Linked DNA regions of Schizosaccharomyces pombe. The protein of the gene in region 1 interacts with the protein of each later gene in a biochemical or structural test. Each region holds a gene or a part of one and is shown in the gene's direction. Other genes may lie near its edges. The genes, in order: prp2, uaf2, prp10 and bpb1.

The links.
Region 2: the proteins of prp2 (region 1) and uaf2 form a complex in vitro, tested with the Schizosaccharomyces pombe proteins (one study listed by BioGRID).
Region 3: the proteins of prp2 (region 1) and prp10 form a complex in vitro, tested with the Schizosaccharomyces pombe proteins (one study listed by BioGRID).
Region 4: the proteins of prp2 (region 1) and bpb1 form a complex in vitro, tested with the Schizosaccharomyces pombe proteins (one study listed by BioGRID).

The regions. Positions count from the first base shown.
Region 1 is NC_003423.3:1,011,692-1,015,785, forward strand, and holds prp2 (U2 small nuclear RNA auxiliary factor small subunit, U2AF-59), read left to right. Parts: upstream 1-1,618; 5' UTR 1,619-1,863; coding exon 1,864-3,417; 3' UTR 3,418-3,488; downstream 3,489-4,094. Other genes in the region: fan1 (fanconi-associated nuclease 1), read right to left, coding at 1-1,021; tif1102 (translation initiation factor eIF1A-like), read right to left, coding at 3,641-3,725, 3,778-4,076. UniProt on the Schizosaccharomyces pombe protein: Necessary for the splicing of pre-mRNA. The SF1-U2AF59-U2AF23 complex has a role in the recognition of the branch site (5'-UACUAAC-3'), the pyrimidine tract and the 3'-splice site at the 3'-end of introns.
Region 2 is NC_003424.3:5,323,696-5,326,976, forward strand, and holds uaf2 (U2 auxiliary factor small subunit Uaf2), read left to right. Parts: upstream 1-1,898; 5' UTR 1,899-1,915; coding exon 1,916-2,566; 3' UTR 2,567-2,740; downstream 2,741-3,281. Other genes in the region: ski7 (ski complex-interacting GTPase), read left to right, coding at 1-588, 629-713, 751-1,111; SPOM_SPAP8A3.07C (phospho-2-dehydro-3-deoxyheptonate aldolase), read right to left, coding at 3,025-3,281.
Region 3 is NC_003424.3:4,332,579-4,338,632, reverse strand, and holds prp10 (U2 snRNP-associated protein SF3B1), read left to right. Parts: upstream 1-1,828; 5' UTR 1,829-1,845; coding exon 1,846-1,855; intron 1,856-1,906; coding exon 1,907-2,011; exon of another isoform or gene 2,012-2,077; coding exon 2,078-5,463; 3' UTR 5,464-5,498; downstream 5,499-6,054. Other genes in the region: pdp3 (PWWP domain-containing protein), read right to left, coding at 162-1,385; pdt1 (Nramp family Mn(2+) transporter), read right to left, coding at 5,729-6,054. UniProt on the Schizosaccharomyces pombe protein: Contacts pre-mRNA on both sides of the branch site early in spliceosome assembly.
Region 4 is NC_003421.2:555,655-560,274, reverse strand, and holds bpb1 (zinc finger-splicing factor Bpb1), read left to right. Parts: upstream 1-2,026; 5' UTR 2,027-2,069; coding exon 2,070-2,100; exon of another isoform or gene 2,101-2,146; coding exon 2,147-3,879; 3' UTR 3,880-4,034; downstream 4,035-4,620. Other genes in the region: SPOM_SPCC1672.01 (histidinol-phosphatase), read right to left, coding at 1-60, 177-208; XP-G family protein ast1, read right to left, coding at 4,075-4,620. UniProt on the Schizosaccharomyces pombe protein: Necessary for the splicing of pre-mRNA. The BPB1(SF1)-u2af59-u2af23 complex has a role in the recognition of the branch site (5'-UACUAAC-3'), the pyrimidine tract and the 3'-splice site at the 3'-end of introns.

The DNA.
Region 1 (4,094 bases):
CTTCCACCCAAAATTCCCTAATGTCTTCATTTAGATATGTCGACCATATAGGATATATTTCAAAAAAACTGTTCAACGCTTGTTCGAGTGCTTCCTTATCCGAAGCGGCAGTGTTTTCAAAGATTGGAACCAAGTTTTTTGAAAGTTCTAAAACCTCAACGTATTCAAGGCATTGAGCACGACAATTAAAGACGTTTGAAGTTCGCGATAAAACGTAATTCGGGTAGGAAAATTTGTTAAGGCGTGCTAATATTAAAGACGTAAGCGATTGTTCATCATAAATGGACGAACGAAAGTACACAATATTAATTCGATGAAATAGGTCTACTAAAATTTTCTTTGGTTTCACACAGGATTTGCATTGATATAATAGTTGCTTCCGAAGAAACGACTCTTGCTTATGCATCACACCAAAAGCATCAAAGGACAAAAATTGTTGACCATTACAATGTAGTACTGATTGTCTTTTAGATAGGAAAATGATTTCTTTTGAAATTTCAGACCTGCTTTTTCCACACACCTTCGTTTGTCTAGCTAACGAACGCAATTCATCGAGAGATAGAATTTCAATTATTTCTTCAGTTGACATGAGTGATTCATCTTCAAAAAAATTTTTCAGAACAAGCTGCTTACAGCAGGCAATAACATCCTTGCAATCTGGATAAGTCAAATGGCCCACGCGGAACCATTTATTTCTTTTACGCATGAATAGACGAACAAACAAGTACCGTTCATCCGAGTCTAAAGCTTTAAAGTTTTCAATAACCCTCAACTCATCATCAGTAAAGATATGCGGTTCACAATCGAGGACGGTGTTTAGGATTTCTTCGAACCCCAGCAGATACATTGAATTTTTAGTAGAATATACATTGTGCTTATTAGTATTGGCAACTTGTCCTTTAACTGTTGTCTCTGGTGCTTGACATACAACTTTTAAGGGAGGGAAACATAACTTGTTCTCGTTTACCCCAGATTTATCTGGAGTGTTTATGTCGCACGCTTCATTAAAGAATCGTTTCATGAATTTTTAGATATCACAGCAGCGCGACTGAATAAGTGCACAAGATGATGGCCGTAAGTAAACAAATATTTAAAAAAAAGAGCGGCTTTTACAACAATGGAAAGCTAGTATGAAAATAAATAATAATAAATTTTGAATGAATGTAAACGTCTTCTTGTGTAATAAAGTAAATTTTTAAAAGATTGAACATACAATTTAAGAGCATGGATTTCAAGGATAAAATGAGACAAACATTAAATCTATCGTGGATGTACTGGCAAAAAAAAAACGAAAATTATTGAATTTCATGGCAGCTGTAAATTTTTAAAGATTGCTTTAAAAGAAAGCCATACAATCAAATACTATGGTCAAAAGAGAAAAATTCGTTAAAACTTAGGAGAATGGTACTAGGGTAAGGACAACAGTTTAAATAAATGCTTTTGAAAATTTAACTGCATTCGTAAGTTACAGTGTTGTCTATAATGCAAGTTTAGCGAAAGTTGCTATTTGAAACTAAAAAGAAAATGTAAGTCAACAACGTTGTGCTTAAAATTACGACGCTGGCGAAGTTACTACAAACTCTCACTACCTTAACTTAGTAAGTCGAAACTTTTGACTAACCTTGGGCGTATCACATAAAGAAAAAATAAGTTAATTATTATTGTTCATGTTATAAATTTTTTTTAGCAAGGAATCCAAGAGCATTGACGCGCATATCATTTCATTAGAATTTGTACTTTTGTATTCCCTACTTTCATCAAAGTTTTTTCCGGAGAATTTAAGAGTTCATTTTAATAAACGAATTTCTTCCCTCCCTTCTTTTTTGAATAATTTTTTAAATAGCCTCATATTCATTCACTAACATGGATTTGTCTTCCAGATTATCATCAGGTTCTTCACGGATACCCAAGCGACACAGAGATTATCGCGATGAAGAACCTAGACGAGAAAGAGGTTCGGGTGGGATAGGAAGGGAAGACCCGAGAGGCCATTATGGCTCTGAACGACCTAGAAGACGTCGCCGAGACGAAAGTGATTTTCGTAGACATAGAGAATCTCGTGAAAGAAGTTATCGAGAGGATGAGAGGCCAAGAAGAGAAAGAAGATATGATGATTATGAGCCTCGATCATTACGTTATTCATCTGTCGGAAGAAGTAGAAGTCCACCTCCCAGCCGAGAAAGAAGCGTAAGGTCTATCGAACAGGAACTCGAACAATTGAGAGATGTAACACCAATAAATCAGTGGAAAAGGAAGCGCTCTTTATGGGACATTAAACCACCTGGTTATGAATTGGTTACTGCTGACCAGGCGAAAATGTCTGGTGTTTTTCCTTTGCCAGGCGCTCCTAGAGCTGCAGTTACTGATCCAGAGAAATTGCTAGAATTTGCTCGCTCTGCGGAAGGAAGTATTATTGCTCCCCCTCCGCCCTTACAACCAGGTGCTAGCAGACAGGCTCGTCGACTAGTGGTTACTGGAATTCCTAACGAATTCGTTGAAGATGCTTTTGTATCATTTATCGAAGATCTATTTATTTCAACTACATACCATAAACCCGAGACAAAGCATTTCTCCTCTGTCAACGTCTGTAAAGAAGAAAACTTTGCTATTCTTGAGGTCGCTACTCCTGAAGATGCCACCTTCCTCTGGGGGCTTCAGTCCGAATCATATTCTAATGATGTCTTTTTAAAATTTCAAAGAATTCAAAATTACATCGTCCCTCAAATTACCCCCGAAGTTTCTCAAAAAAGAAGTGATGATTATGCCAAGAACGACGTTTTAGATTCAAAAGACAAAATTTACATTTCAAATTTACCTTTAAATTTAGGCGAAGATCAAGTGGTGGAGCTACTTAAGCCTTTCGGTGATTTATTAAGCTTTCAATTGATAAAAAATATTGCAGATGGATCTTCGAAGGGTTTTTGTTTTTGCGAATTTAAAAATCCTTCTGATGCGGAAGTAGCTATCAGCGGTCTTGATGGTAAAGATACGTATGGGAACAAGTTACACGCACAATTTGCTTGTGTAGGTCTCAATCAAGCTATGATAGATAAGTCTAATGGAATGGCCATTTTGACAGAACTTGCTAAGGCGTCATCACAATCTATTCCAACTAGAGTCTTACAATTACATAATTTAATTACTGGGGACGAAATTATGGATGTACAAGAATATGAAGACATATATGAGTCTGTAAAGACCCAATTTTCGAATTATGGACCACTTATAGATATAAAAATTCCTCGTAGTATTGGCACTAGAAACTCGGGATTAGGAACTGGAAAGGTTTTTGTACGATACTCCGATATCAGATCTGCAGAGGTCGCAATGGAAGAGATGAAAGGTTGTAAATTTAATGATCGCACGATTGTCATTGCTTTTTATGGTGAGGATTGCTATAAAGCTAATGCATGGTGATTTCAGTTTCAATGAAAAGGTTAGTATAATATCTTAATGTTAGGGTAATAATATCAGTATTTCTCATTGGATTGTTTAAAGTGTAACAAAGTACTCAATTGTAATGAGCGATTGTGGGATGAAGTAATTCTTGCAAGCATTTCCCGTTATACGCTTTTTATCATCGGTTTAATTTACAAGGTTCGTTGTAAGGATTCTTAATATATGTATTTTTTGTAAATTGTTAGTCACTATCGTATTCTTCCTCGCTACTGCTGCTTTCCTCAGAATCGTTTTGATTTAACGATTCATCTGCAAACTCTTTAGGCCTTTAAACTAGTTAGCACAATCATCTAATGTTATTTCAAGAGAATTTCTTACCAATAAATTTGTTTTTTCCAATTTTTTAAAGGGCTTTGTACCACGTACAATATAGTACCGTCAATTTTATTGTCCTTCTCTAAAAACTCAGATTTATCAACTATTACAAACCCATTTCTCCTAACCCATATTTTATTACGATACTTTGGAGGCATCTCAACAAGTAATTCCTGTCCATTGTTTTCTACTACCATAAAAAGCGCAGATCCTTTAAGTTGCACAACTTTGGCGACGACTTGATCTTTTTCCAACCTAGCTGGTGGATCAAACGAAATTTGACCGCCATATTTTTTTGACATATTAGTATTTCTCTAAAG
Region 2 (3,281 bases), on another chromosome or scaffold:
ATTTTCCTTTAGGAATCTTCACTACTAATGCAAGTTCTCGAGATAATTTTCTAAAACATTCAAGTTTGTTTCAAGTAATGAACACAGCCATTTTCACCATTGATTGTCTGAATCCTTTGGAAGGTCTTGATGGAATATCTTCCATTTTACAATTGATGAATGGCTTATCTATTTCAAGCTATATGTTTGCTATCACTAAGATGGATGAAATTGAGTGGGATGAAAATAAATTCATTAATCTTGTTAACTCGATTCAGAGCTTTCTGAAAGAAAGTTGCGGAATAATTGAGAAATCAAAATTCATTCCGATAAGCGGACTAAAAGGAACCAATCTTACATCCATTAGTCAAGAAAAATTATCCCAGTGGTATAAATCTGATACATTGCTTGGCAAAATTGATAAAGAAGCAGATACAAATCATGGCACATGGAATTTTCTTCTTAATCTACCTCTCTCTTTAACAATTTCACACATTACTCCTTTGCCAGAAAATCAATCACATATTTACTGTAGCATCCATTCAGGCATGCTTCAGGATTCGCAAAAGCTTTATGTAGGCACAGGGAGATTAGAAACACAAATCACAGGTACGGAAGGTGTTCAATTATTTTATGTTAATCAAAAAAGGACTGAGCAGTGATGAAAATCCCAAAGGGTTTAATGTTGCTGGGGATATGATTCAAGCCAAAATCCCTACATTACCCAATTTATGGTAAGTTCTTTGCAATTCTTGTATTTCTAATAAATAGTCCTGGGATTTTAATTGCTGATAGTATCGATGCCTTTACTTCTTCGAAAACTGCTTACGTTAATGCAACTTGGTTTCACGGTTCTCTTGAAAAAGGAAAGTCGATGCATGTAATAGCCCTATTCGGCTGTCACGCAGTCCTTACCAAACTGTATTGCTTTACAGACAGTCAAGAAAAAGCTCCTAACGCAATCGGAAACGATCTTGAAAGAAATCGAACCTCACTTGTGAAAATTGAATTAGAGAATGCTTTCCCTCTCGTAAAAGAAAGCTACATTAACACCTTAAGCCGCGTTTTATTCGTTTCAGAAAAATGGAATAGCTTAATTGCGTTTGGAACAGTACTATCTCTGCATGACTGAATCCCTAACTTACGTATTATACTCAACTCCATATTAATTTTGCATTCGAAAAAATTTTCCGTCCTTTTTAAAGAAATTCTCTATAGATTGTTTTAAATATTGTAAAACTACCGATGTTGTTCATTTGCGTACATCTCAGGCATCGTGACATTTGGAAACAATTTGTTCTCGAGTAAATTTCCTGAGCAAAAAAAAGGAATGTGCTGTGTTAAGAATAATTTATCTTTTTTTCTTTTGAATCGTTGGCACATCAGTCTAATAACAGTAACTACTTATTCTTGATATTTTCCAAATTCGAATATAATTAGGGAAATACAAGGGAATATCTGTATATCGGATAGTTGTAAGCTACGCAGTTTGGTATCTGATTTAAGGATACGTAGAACTGTGGTGAGTTTTCCTTGTGATCTATTATATTACAATACACAGGTTATATAAGTAGCAACTGAGTATAGGTATTGTATTAACTGGGTTATAATGTTACCTATCACTAATATAGCTCATAACTGAACTGAGGAACGAGGTTCAGCAGTAGCTCTATTTATAGTATTCAGATAATATAGATCTTAATAGATTATCATTAAGATCAATCTCCATATCGTATCATACATGGTACGATATATAATTAGAACATGTGACATATAGTGATACGCAACGTAGTGTATCATAGCGTAGTGTAGTACTGCTGACAATAGTGTGCAAGAATAATTTAGAAAATTTGCGTAACTTAACGAGATGTTGCACGCCACCATTATAAGACTAGAATCATGTTGGATCACTTTATTTCATAACCACCATATAAAAATGGCAAGTCATTTGGCAAGTATTTATGGTACTGAGCAAGATAAAGTCAATTGCTCATTCTATTATAAAATAGGAGCTTGTAGACATGGGGAACGCTGCTCTCGTAAACATGTCAAACCAAATTTTAGTCAAACGATCTTATGTCCCAACATGTATAAAAACCCAATTCATGAACCAAATGGCAAAAAGTTCACGCAGCGTGAACTTGCAGAACAATTTGATGCATTCTACGAGGACATGTTTTGTGAGTTTTCAAAATACGGTGAAGTTGAACAATTAGTCGTCTGTGACAATGTTGGAGATCACTTAGTCGGAAATGTTTATGTAAGATTCAAGTATGAAGAGTCTGCCCAAAATGCTATTGATGATTTAAATTCCCGATGGTATTCCCAAAGACCAGTCTACGCCGAGTTATCTCCTGTAACTGATTTTCGCGAGGCATGTTGCCGGCAACACGAAACTTCGGAATGTCAGCGGGGTGGCCTTTGTAATTTTATGCATGCCAAAAAACCAAGTCCTCAGCTTTTACGCGATTTGGTACTAGCACAAAGAAAGTATTTGGCCTTAAATGCAGCAGAAGAAATGAAAAAGGAGCCCAATAGTGATTCCACGAATCGATGGGTCAGTGTAACTGCTGAACGCAAAAATTAAATAGCAACTTATGGAATGTATTTGTTTTGGATTCTGGTTTGCTTTTGTACGGTTTTACTTCGTTTATTATGATTAATCTCTGGCTATAGTTTGTTGTGATTTAGGTTATTTAAATAGATGTTGCATTCTTTTATTGTTTACTAATAAACTTGATCTTTGTACAACTGTACTCATAGACGTTTTAAATTTTGTGTCCAATGTGCCTATGGCTGATTACAAGCTAAAGGAGATCGATTAGAAACATATGAAACGATCAAACATTTCGCAAAACTTGCACAGCAATTCTTAAAAACGAAGGTGTTATTGGTAGAAGCTGTGTACGATATAAGAAAAAAAAAACAAAAAAAAATAAATAGAACCCGTATTTAAGCCAAAATTGTTCAGTTGTTGTATGTTACGAAAAAATAAGTTTCAAAAATTAAAAAAATTAAAACTGCTGAATATAACATTTATATGTCTTAATTACTTTTTTGGTTTTGACGGCGAGCACGGACAGCTTCAGCAAGATCGTCTAGCATTGGAGCAGTTTGTTCCCAGCTAACACAAGCATCAGTGATACTGACACCGTACTTGAGAGTATCCTTAACGCCAGGACGGATTGGAGCATCTTGACGACCTTCATTGATATGAGATTCAATCATAACACCAACAATGGAAGAGTCGCCATTTCTGATTTGTTCGGCGATGCTCTTGGAGACCTTTGGTTGGTTCAAAT
Region 3 (6,054 bases), on another chromosome or scaffold:
TAACGTATTGTAACGATTTGTACCATAAACACATTGAGTCGCGCTAATAATGCGTTCTATATTAATGAAAATGTTGGAAGCAAATATTATCGTAACATTAAATGTAAACAAGATTAGTTATGTAATTCGATAACAAAAGCATATGAATGTATGATCAAAAGTTAGGTAGTGATGACAGATGGTCTGGCAGCTTCTGTGTTCACTTGAGCATTCTTTCCAATGGGCGCTGTAGATACATTACTTGTCATGGTTTTGGGCTGAACGAATGCTTGGAATTGAAGGAGAAGAGTCGAAAATCGTGAAGAAAAGTCATATTTTTCATCCAACGGTATGTCGCTTAATTTAACAAGCAAAGTAAAAAGTGAATACAACTTGGTTGATTCTAATAGTTCAGAATTTATTGCGCTGAAATTCTCAATCATCTCCAATATTTGGTGCACATGAGACATATCCGATTCTTGAGGATAATGATTATATGACAGTAGGATTTCTTGTAGTTGGTAGCGGTAATATAAAAGAGTATTAAATCGAATATAATGAACTTGAGCATACATATCTACAGTACTTATAGGCTGAGCCAATTGATATTCAAGTGAAAATTTTGGTAATTCCTCTAAAGAACCGGCAAACCTTACTCTTTTTTTGGCTGTTTTCTTGGGAGAAGGAATTGGAGATGGGGATTTCTGAGCGTTGTCTGTAGCCATCCTAACTCGAGCTGACCTACGTGAAGGTCGTTGCTTCGATGTTTGAGAAATTTCTGCCGACGATTTCTCATTTTTTAACCTTTTACCCCCGTCAATTTTAGGTGTGGCTTCTATCTTTTCCTTTTTTGGTTTCTCGATGGGCTTTTGAAGTTTTTTACGAGTATTCTCTGGTTCAAACTCATCCTCTTCGACATCAGAAAAAGAAACTTTTCTCTTTACGGAAGCAATGATGAGACCTACCGTCTTTTGGATATACTTTGTCGATAAATCATGGTCCAAAATAAACCTTGATTCATCAACAGTTAAGGGCAAAACATTTGAAGAAGAAATAATAGCGTAATCTCTTGAAGGAAGAAACTGAACAAATATTCCATTGTCCATTCGAAAATTTCGTTTCAATCGTTCGCGTACCTCAGTGGGTATTGATTTTTGGCTCGCTACTCTGGCTGGCCACCATGGGAAGCTACTCATCTTTGCTAAAACATATTCCCCATTTTTATATGATTTCCTTGGTGACGTCCTCGGAACATACGCTAATTGTTTACCTTTCTTTTTAACATCACGCAGATTTTTCGTATTAGAAGTCTGTTGCCCGGTGGCCTTTTTTTTTGTTTTAATCTTCTTCTGGTTATTAATCTCTTCAAGCTTTCTTTTTTGACTGCGTGTCCTAGCAACCATCATCGTTAATTACATTCCTTATAAGCCAAACTTCACATTAAAGCGATATAGTGCTGAATTTTTCCAAAGAGATTTTACATCAATTTGTAAAGGTTCCACCAAATATTAGGATATACAAGTAGAAACCGTAAGACGCTTGTCTATTATCAATTAATTGCAGCAACGCTTACAAGATCTACAATAGCAGAGGGGGGGGGTGCTAAAAGCTTGAGCTGTTGCAATATGATACCTCGATATTTCAATATCATTCCTCATACTAATTTTTTCGATAGTATATATTTCTTTCGCAAATAAATCTTAATAAAGAGGGTTAAACTAAATAAGACACGTTAATCTTATCGTTATTCTACAAAACGAGTTACTGTATTGTACTTTAAAATATTGATAACGAAGCTTAGAATGCTTTGAGTATATTTAAATGAGTATAAGACGCGCAACATGAAAGCATTTCTTCGCCATCAACATGTCAACTGGTACGTATCCTTATAAAATGTTCAAAATGGATGTTACTAACCTAAATAAAGTAGAAGATGTGGAAATAGAAAGGCTTCGTGCTGAAAGAGAACTTTTGCGAAGACAAAAAGAGGCAGCGAAGAATTCGTCGACAAATGGAAGTGTAAATATTGAAGGTACCCAGGATTCTAATGATTTACAATATAATGCTCATCTTTTTAAGTCCAGTAACCCAAAAGAAGAATATGACTCCGCAATTGACGTGCGCAATGATATCTCTCAGGATGAAGACGATTATAAACGTACAAACGATGTTAATGATAGTTATCGTTTAGTGCGTCAATATGAAGCACCTAAGGAACTACTAAATGAATACGCTGATGAAAGTTATGACCCTATGCAAGAGAGACAGTCAAAAAAGCAAATTCAGGATCGCGAGTCAGATTATCAAAAGCAGCGTTATGATAGACAGCTTACTCCAACCCGCGTAGATGCTTTTCAACCTGATGGGACACAGAGCAATGGAAGATCTTATGCGGAGGTTATGCGGCAGGTTGAATTAGAAAAGGAAGAGCGACGAGTTCATATGGAATTAAATCAAAGACGTCGTGAAGGAACACTAAAAGAGGTGGAGGAGGAGGAAAGCATATCGGACAAAAAAAGAGAACTAGAGCTTAATAATACGGAAATATCTCAGAAGCCTAAACGCTCTCGTTGGGATCAGGCTCCACCTAGCGTTACGCAGGTTTCCACTACTAAGCGTAGATCACGTTGGGACAAAGCTCCTGAAAACTTCACTATATCTGAACATGTTATAGAAAACGGAATTTCTGAAGATCTTATTAATAAGGAAGTAAATGTAGTAGAAGAAAAATTACGACCTCCTGTCCGTTTATTAACTGAAGAAGAGTTAAATGAGCTTTTGCCGTCAGAAGGCTATGCTATTTTGGAGCCTCCTCCTGGATATTTAGAATCAATTCATCCTGAACTACTTCAAAAAGGTACTACGCTCGATACATATCACGTTCCACAAGAGCAAGAGCTTCCTTTAGAAAAAGAATTACCAGCTGCATTGCCTACAGAAATACCCGGTGTAGGTGATTTAGCTTTTTTTAAGCAAGAAGATGTTAAATATTTTGGCAAGTTACTCAAGGTGGAGGACGAGGCCAAGCTTACAATTGCGGAACTTCGTGAACGTAAAATTTTGAGATTACTTCTGAAAGTAAAAAATGGTACTCCTCCCATGCGTAAGAGTGCATTACGCCAGCTTACGGATCAAGCTCGCGACTTTGGTGCAGCTGCTTTATTTAATCAGATTCTTCCGTTGTTAATGGAACGAACACTGGAAGATCAGGAGCGCCATCTTTTAGTTAAGGTTATTGATCGTATATTATACAAATTGGATGATCTGGTTCGCCCTTTTACTCATAAAATTCTCGTAGTTATTGAACCCCTTCTTATTGATGAAGATTACTATGCACGTGCTGAAGGTCGGGAAATCATTAGTAACTTAGCTAAAGCTTCCGGCTTGGCTCATATGATTGCTACAATGAGACCTGACATTGATCATGTCGACGAATATGTCCGAAACACCACAGCCCGTGCCTTTTCGGTTGTTGCCTCTGCACTAGGCGTGCCGGCTCTTTTACCTTTTTTAAAAGCTGTTTGTAGAAGTAAGAAATCATGGCAAGCCAGGCATACTGGCGTTCGGATTATTCAACAGATTGCTCTGTTATTAGGATGCTCTATTTTACCACACTTAAAAAATTTAGTTGATTGTATTGGTCACGGCCTTGAAGATGAACAACAAAAAGTACGAATTATGACAGCTTTGTCCTTATCGGCTTTAGCTGAAGCTGCTACTCCTTACGGTATTGAAGCTTTTGACAGCGTTTTAAAGCCATTATGGTCAGGAGTCCAAAGGCATCGTGGTAAAAGCTTAGCCGCCTTTTTAAAAGCAACCGGTTTTATTATCCCTCTTATGGAACCTGAGTATGCAAGTCATTTTACACGGCGTATCATGAAAATTCTTCTACGTGAATTTAATTCACCAGACGAAGAAATGAAAAAGATAGTTCTCAAAGTTGTATCACAATGTGCATCTACTGATGGAGTAACACCTGAGTATTTGAGAACTGATGTGTTGCCTGAATTTTTTCACTGTTTTTGGTCCCGAAGGATGGCATCAGATCGTCGCAGCTACAAGCAAGTTGTTGAAACTACAGTTGTTCTTGCTCAACAAGTAGGTTCCCGTCAAATTGTTGAAAGGGTCGTCAACAACTTTAAAGATGAATCCGAGCCATATCGGAAGATGACCGCTGAAACTGTCGATAAAGTGATTGGCTCTTTAGGTGTTTCCGAGATTGACGAAAGATTGGAAGAGCTACTGTTGGATGGTGTTTTATTTGCTTTTCAGGAGCAATCCGTTGAGGAGAAAGTTATTTTAACTTGCTTTAGTACTGTTGTTAATGCTCTTGGTACAAGATGTAAGCCGTATCTTCCTCAGATCGTTTCTACTATATTGTATCGTTTAAACAATAAGTCTGCTAATGTCCGCGAACAAGCTGCCGACTTAGTTTCCAGTATAACCATTGTTTTAAAGGCATGTGGTGAAGAAGCATTAATGCGTAAACTTGGTGTTGTTTTGTACGAGTATCTTGGTGAAGAATATCCAGAGGTTCTGGGCTCAATTCTTGGTGCTATTAAAGCTATTGTTTCCGTTGTTGGTATGTCTTCAATGCAACCTCCTATTCGTGATTTGTTACCAAGATTGACTCCCATCTTGAGGAACCGTCATGAAAAGGTCCAAGAGAATACAATTGATCTCGTTGGCAAAATTGCAGATCGTGGATCGGAATACGTGTCCGCTAGGGAATGGATGCGTATTTGTTTTGAATTAATTGATATGCTTAAAGCACATAAAAAGAGTATTCGCCGTGCTGCTGTCAACACATTTGGTTATATATCAAAAGCCATCGGACCTCAAGACGTGCTGGCTACTTTGTTAAATAATCTCAAAGTCCAGGAACGCCAAAATCGTGTATGTACTACTGTAGCTATTGCTATCGTGGCAGAAACATGTATGCCTTTTACAGTCGTACCAGCACTTATGGCAGACTACAGAACTCCAGAAATGAACGTGCAGAATGGTGTTTTAAAGTCATTAGCGTTTATGTTTGAATACATTGGTGAGCAAGCACGCGACTATGTTTATGCCATTACACCTCTTTTAGCCGATGCGCTTATGGATCGCGATGCCGTGCATCGGCAAACCGCCGCTTCTGTAATCAAGCACTTGTCTCTTGGTTGTGTTGGTTTGGGTGTTGAAGACGCAATGATTCATTTACTTAATATCCTATGGCCAAATATCTTGGAGGAATCGCCCCATGTTATCAATGCCGTTCGGGAAGGCATTGATGGCATCCGAAATTGTATCGGTGTAGGTCCAATTATGGCATATTTAGTACAAGGATTATTTCATCCGAGTCGTAAAGTTCGTAACACTTATTGGACAAGCTACAATTCTGCTTATGTACAAAGTGCAGATGCTATGGTACCATACTATCCCCACGTTGATGACGATCAATTCAACAACTACGATATGAAAACTTTACATATTTGCATCTAAGTACCCTTTTTGTTAATTATTAAAAAATATTCATTATAATAGTACATGAAAACATTTGTGATAGTACTTGTATACATGTCTCAGCTTCATGTTAATAACTTTGGTTTCAACAGAGCATCGCAAATTACTTGACGCGGTTTGCAAATGCTACATAAATAAATTTCGGACTAAGTGTAGTAATTAAAGGAAAGCTATGGGGAAATGTTAAAAGGAACGTACGCATATAACCATGCCGTTTGAAAAATACGAGCGTTCTAAAATTTATTTAGAAGGAGACTCCCATGCCCAACCAAACAATGAGTAATAAATTTAAAGCAGTCAAAAAGAGCCAAATTGCCCATGTAACAATAGTCATAGTCCATCCTAAGCTATAATCGTGAGTTTCTCTTATCAATTGTCCAGTTTCTTCATTGGTAGAATCACTAACAACACGCATAACTTTTCGAGAGCAAGTGAACATTACAAGTGGAAAGGTAAGAAAAGGTAATAAAATAGAAAGACAAACCTGACTAGCGTTCAGTACTTGATTAAGACCACTCTGTCCAACAGCAGCCGAAACAACTAAGCATGGGATAATTGCAATAGCACGTG
Region 4 (4,620 bases), on another chromosome or scaffold:
CCTTGTTGTATGGCTTCCTGAATTACATCTTCTAGTTTGCCCTGGGCATGCAAACAAAATCTTCAATAAAAGTTAGTGGTTTGTCACTGAATAAAAGAAAAAAAAAATTCATCTGTAAAATCTCAGGCAAACACATCAACATGTATCGCTTGTTTACAAATTAAAAGCAAACATACTGCCCACTATGAGAATGACTAGAAATTGGCATTATTATGATAATATGTAGCGTATTTGCAAAATTGAACCGAAAAAAAAGAATGAATATCGATGAAGCTGAACTGTGTTAAAATTGGAAATCCAAAACAGAATTGAGAAAATTCGACAATGCACCAAAGACTATCCAAAATATTTATCTAAATTGATTCCCAACAAATACAATCCAAGCTATCTATAAAACGACAAAAGTAAATATTTTCGCAGTCGACCGAAAAAATGGAATGATAACTATAAATTTCAGATAATTAGTTTAAATTAACCCAACCAAAACTTAAAGATGCATTAGCGTCTTACCAAACGAAAAATCCAGAATTATATCAACTAACGGCTCAATACCAAAATGCGAATGAATGTGGGAAATGGATGAAACAGACGGAACGAGCCGTAAAAAAATTGGGAATCAAATTTTTATAAGAGATCTAACGAGTTACTGGAATGCCTTTCTAACGAGCCGGTTGTTTCGATCACTCAGCGTACCGGACATCTTTTGGAATCAATTTTTGTTAACGACTTTTTTCAGCATATGGTGAAGTGCGGTATTCCCCAAATTCGAACTTTCACACTAGGTTCTGTGGTTTGATAAAATGCAAGCAGCTTGATTCATTTACGAAAAAATTACGATCCTGACTCTGCTTCTTTCACACAGTAAAACGGGTCATATTGGAGTTGTATGAACATTTGGCAAAAACGTTTCTTAATGAAAATCAGATCCTTTCCAATGTTCCTAAGATGTTATGGTATCATGCATTTTTGAGTTTGATAGTAAAGAATTAAATTAATAGAATTTAAACAAAGCACTAAACACACTGAATCCTTATTTTTCTTCATGAGTAAATTTTTCTCTAGGCAAATTATCTGATCAGATAAGGAAGGCTTGCATGCCGAGTGGTGGAATGTCGCTTGGAATATGAAAAAAAGATTGTATGCCCGCAGCCTGTTTTACAAAAATGTTTCTCATTATCAACTAAAACATAAGTACTATTTATCATTCCAAAACCAATTTCTTTTAATTTCGATTCTGGTTTCTCAATGTAAACCTTGCTGGATTTCGCTATAATTCCAACCCAAGCTCAACAAAATGGTCATGGGCAATAAGAGTTTGCACTTCCATCTAATTATGAACCAAATTCAGAAAAATATCAAAAATTTTTCTACTGACTTATTCTTGAGCATTACTCACCCTCTAAAAACCTCCTATCTATTGTTCGATACAAAATAAGGATATGCCTGTATACTGGTATTACAATATAATATTACAATATTCTCTTTTACAATTCCTATTCGCTTAACTTTGATGCTTGAATTATTATTTAGCGAACTCTAAAGTATGTTTTAATCGCAAAAAAAAAGAAGAATCAACGCTTTACCCTACCAAACAGAGGTGGAACTCTCCATCATTGTCTGATTATTTTTTAAGAAAGATGAATGTTTCCATATCATATCTAAGCCGTAATCCGCCAGTCTCGTTTCTGTAAATCCAAATTGCAATGATGCTTAAAGCTGTTTATAATAAAGTACGTTAGATTTATTTAGCGCAATGAATAGAGATACACTAAACCGATTTAAGATCAATAACTGAATATCGAAACAAGTGCAAGAACTGCTTGCTGTATTGTTAGAAAAAAAAAATTTCGGTTGAACTTATCATTGACTGAATAGTCTCATTTGAAAATTTATTCAAGTAATTATACATTTAATTCTTTTTTAGCGAGACGGTTATTGCACTCGTTTGTCTCAAACGTGTCGTATCTTCAGTTTCGTCCGTTACTTTATTGCCTCCTTGCCTCCTACATTTCAGTCGTTACTTTTCACCAAGAACCAACGCCCGTCTTCGATCTAGCAGTCTTATTAAAATGCTGAATTCAAGGTCAGTAGGGTCTACTGGTAAGTGTTTTAAGAGATTATTAGTGCAAATTATTAATATTTTTAGGTTCGAATAATACTCCCTTAGGAAGGAGGCGGTTTGACGAAAAACCAGATTCTTTACCACCATTGCCTGATGCAAATGGAATGAGTAATGGTTATCGCGATTCTTATAAAAGCAATTCCAGAATGGATCATAGACCGGATGGCTATCACGATGGTCGAGGTCGTCGAGCTTATAGAAAACATTATTGGGGTCATCCAACCCCGATTGAGGAAATGTTACCAAGCCAAATGGAGCTGGAAACTGCCGTTAAATCCTGTATGACTATGGAGCAATTAGAATTATACTCTTTGAATGTTCGATTGGAAGAAATTACGCAAAAGCTTAGAACCGGTGATGTTGTTCCTCATCACCGTGAACGGTCCCCTTCTCCTCCTCCGCAATACGATAACCATGGTCGCCGATTGAATACTCGAGAAATCCGTTACAAGAAAAAGCTAGAGGATGAGCGTCACCGGATTATTGAGCGCGCAATGAAAATGGTGCCAGGCTTTCGTGCTCCCAGTGATTATAGAAGACCTGCAAAAACACAAGAGAAGGTTTACGTTCCCGTTAAGGATTATCCAGAGATTAATTTCATCGGCCTCCTGATCGGTCCTCGTGGCCACACTTTGAAGGATATGGAAGCAAAATCTGGAGCCAAAATTGCTATTCGTGGTAAAGGAAGTGTTAAAGAAGGAAAAGGAAGAAGCGATCCATCTGTCCGAGGTAATATGGAAGAAGATTTACACTGCCTTGTTACCGCAGACTCTGAAGATAAAATTAACCATGCCATAAAACTAATTGATAATGTTATCCAAACGGCCGCTTCTGTTCCAGAAGGCCAAAACGACTTAAAAAGAAATCAACTTCGTCAGCTTGCTACTCTTAATGGTACTTTACGAGACGATGAAAATCAGGTTTGCCAAAATTGCGGTAACGTGGGTCATCGTCGTTTCGATTGTCCTGAACGTATCAATCACACAATGAACATTGTTTGTAGGCATTGCGGAAGTATTGGCCATATTGCTCGCGACTGTCCTGTTAGAGATCAACAACCTCCAATGGCTGATTCTACTGCTGATCGGGAATATCAAAGTCTTATGCAAGAGCTTGGTGGGGGATCGGCTATTTCCAATGGTAATGGTGAACCCCAAAAATCTATTGAATTTTCCGAAAGTGGAGCTGCTAGTCCTCAAGCAGGTCACCCTCCACCTTGGGCTGCTGCGTCTACTTCGGTATCTAGCAGCACTTCTAGTCCTGCTCCTTGGGCCAAACCAGCTTCATCAGCCGCCCCTTCAAATCCAGCCCCTTGGCAGCAACCTGCTGCTCCACAATCTGCCCCTGCCCTTTCTATGAATCCAAGTTCACTACCTCCTTGGCAGCAGCCAACTCAACAGTCCGCTGTACAGCCTTCTAATTTAGTACCTTCACAAAATGCGCCATTCATCCCTGGTACTTCTGCTCCCCTTCCACCTACTACATTCGCTCCTCCTGGTGTGCCTCTGCCACCAATTCCTGGGGCGCCTGGTATGCCGAACCTGAATATGTCTCAACCACCCATGGTTCCACCTGGAATGGCTTTGCCTCCTGGCATGCCCGCACCATTTCCTGGATATCCCGCTGTTCCTGCTATGCCTGGTATACCTGGTGCAACAGCTCCCCCTGGTGCACCAGGCTCATACAATACGTCGGAGTCCTCTAATTTAAATGCCCCACCCGGTGTTTCAATGCCAAACGGATATTCCAATCGATAGAATATATGTATTTGTTAATAGTTTGTCGCATATTATAATGAGGTTGAAAAAAAAGGTTTATGCAAGCCAATTGCTTCTTTTAATTTTTACGGTTTAAAAGTATTCGATATATGTTTTGAATTTAATTCATTAATTTTATAACGTGTTTCCCAAAAAATTTTGTTTGATTGTAATTCATGTGACAAAAATGTATATCTATGATTGATCTTTTTTAGTCTTGCGTTTCCTTTTTGGTTTCCAAATATCCATTATCATGTAAATATCAGAGTAATCGTTCGTGAGGTCTTTGTACATTTTATAGGTTAATGAGGCAGTAGTTTTATCTGTAACAATGCTTAGTGGGCTTTTACCTGTCTTCAGCTTACTTGCTGCTTGGTGAAATAAAGCAAAGTTTAAAGTGCTTGATAGAGGGCTGAATGAAACAAATTCCTGAAAACTAATAGAAGACTGTTCCTTGTCTTCACTGAATATCAACATACATATCGAATATATTGTCGCTATAAAACGAGAAACGCTGGCAATGTCCTCTTGCGTAGGTTCCACCGGCTGCAAGTTCATAGGACTACCTAAGAATAGACTTACATGCATTAAGAGGAAACTGGTAGCTGTAATATTGTTTAAATTTTTCATACACCGTAAAGTCCATAGTACTAGCCTGTGCGGTAAATTCCAGTTAGAAAATTTGCTATCCAACGTTTCGCAGACTGTAGCATAATCATAATCTACAGAAATCAATCTCTT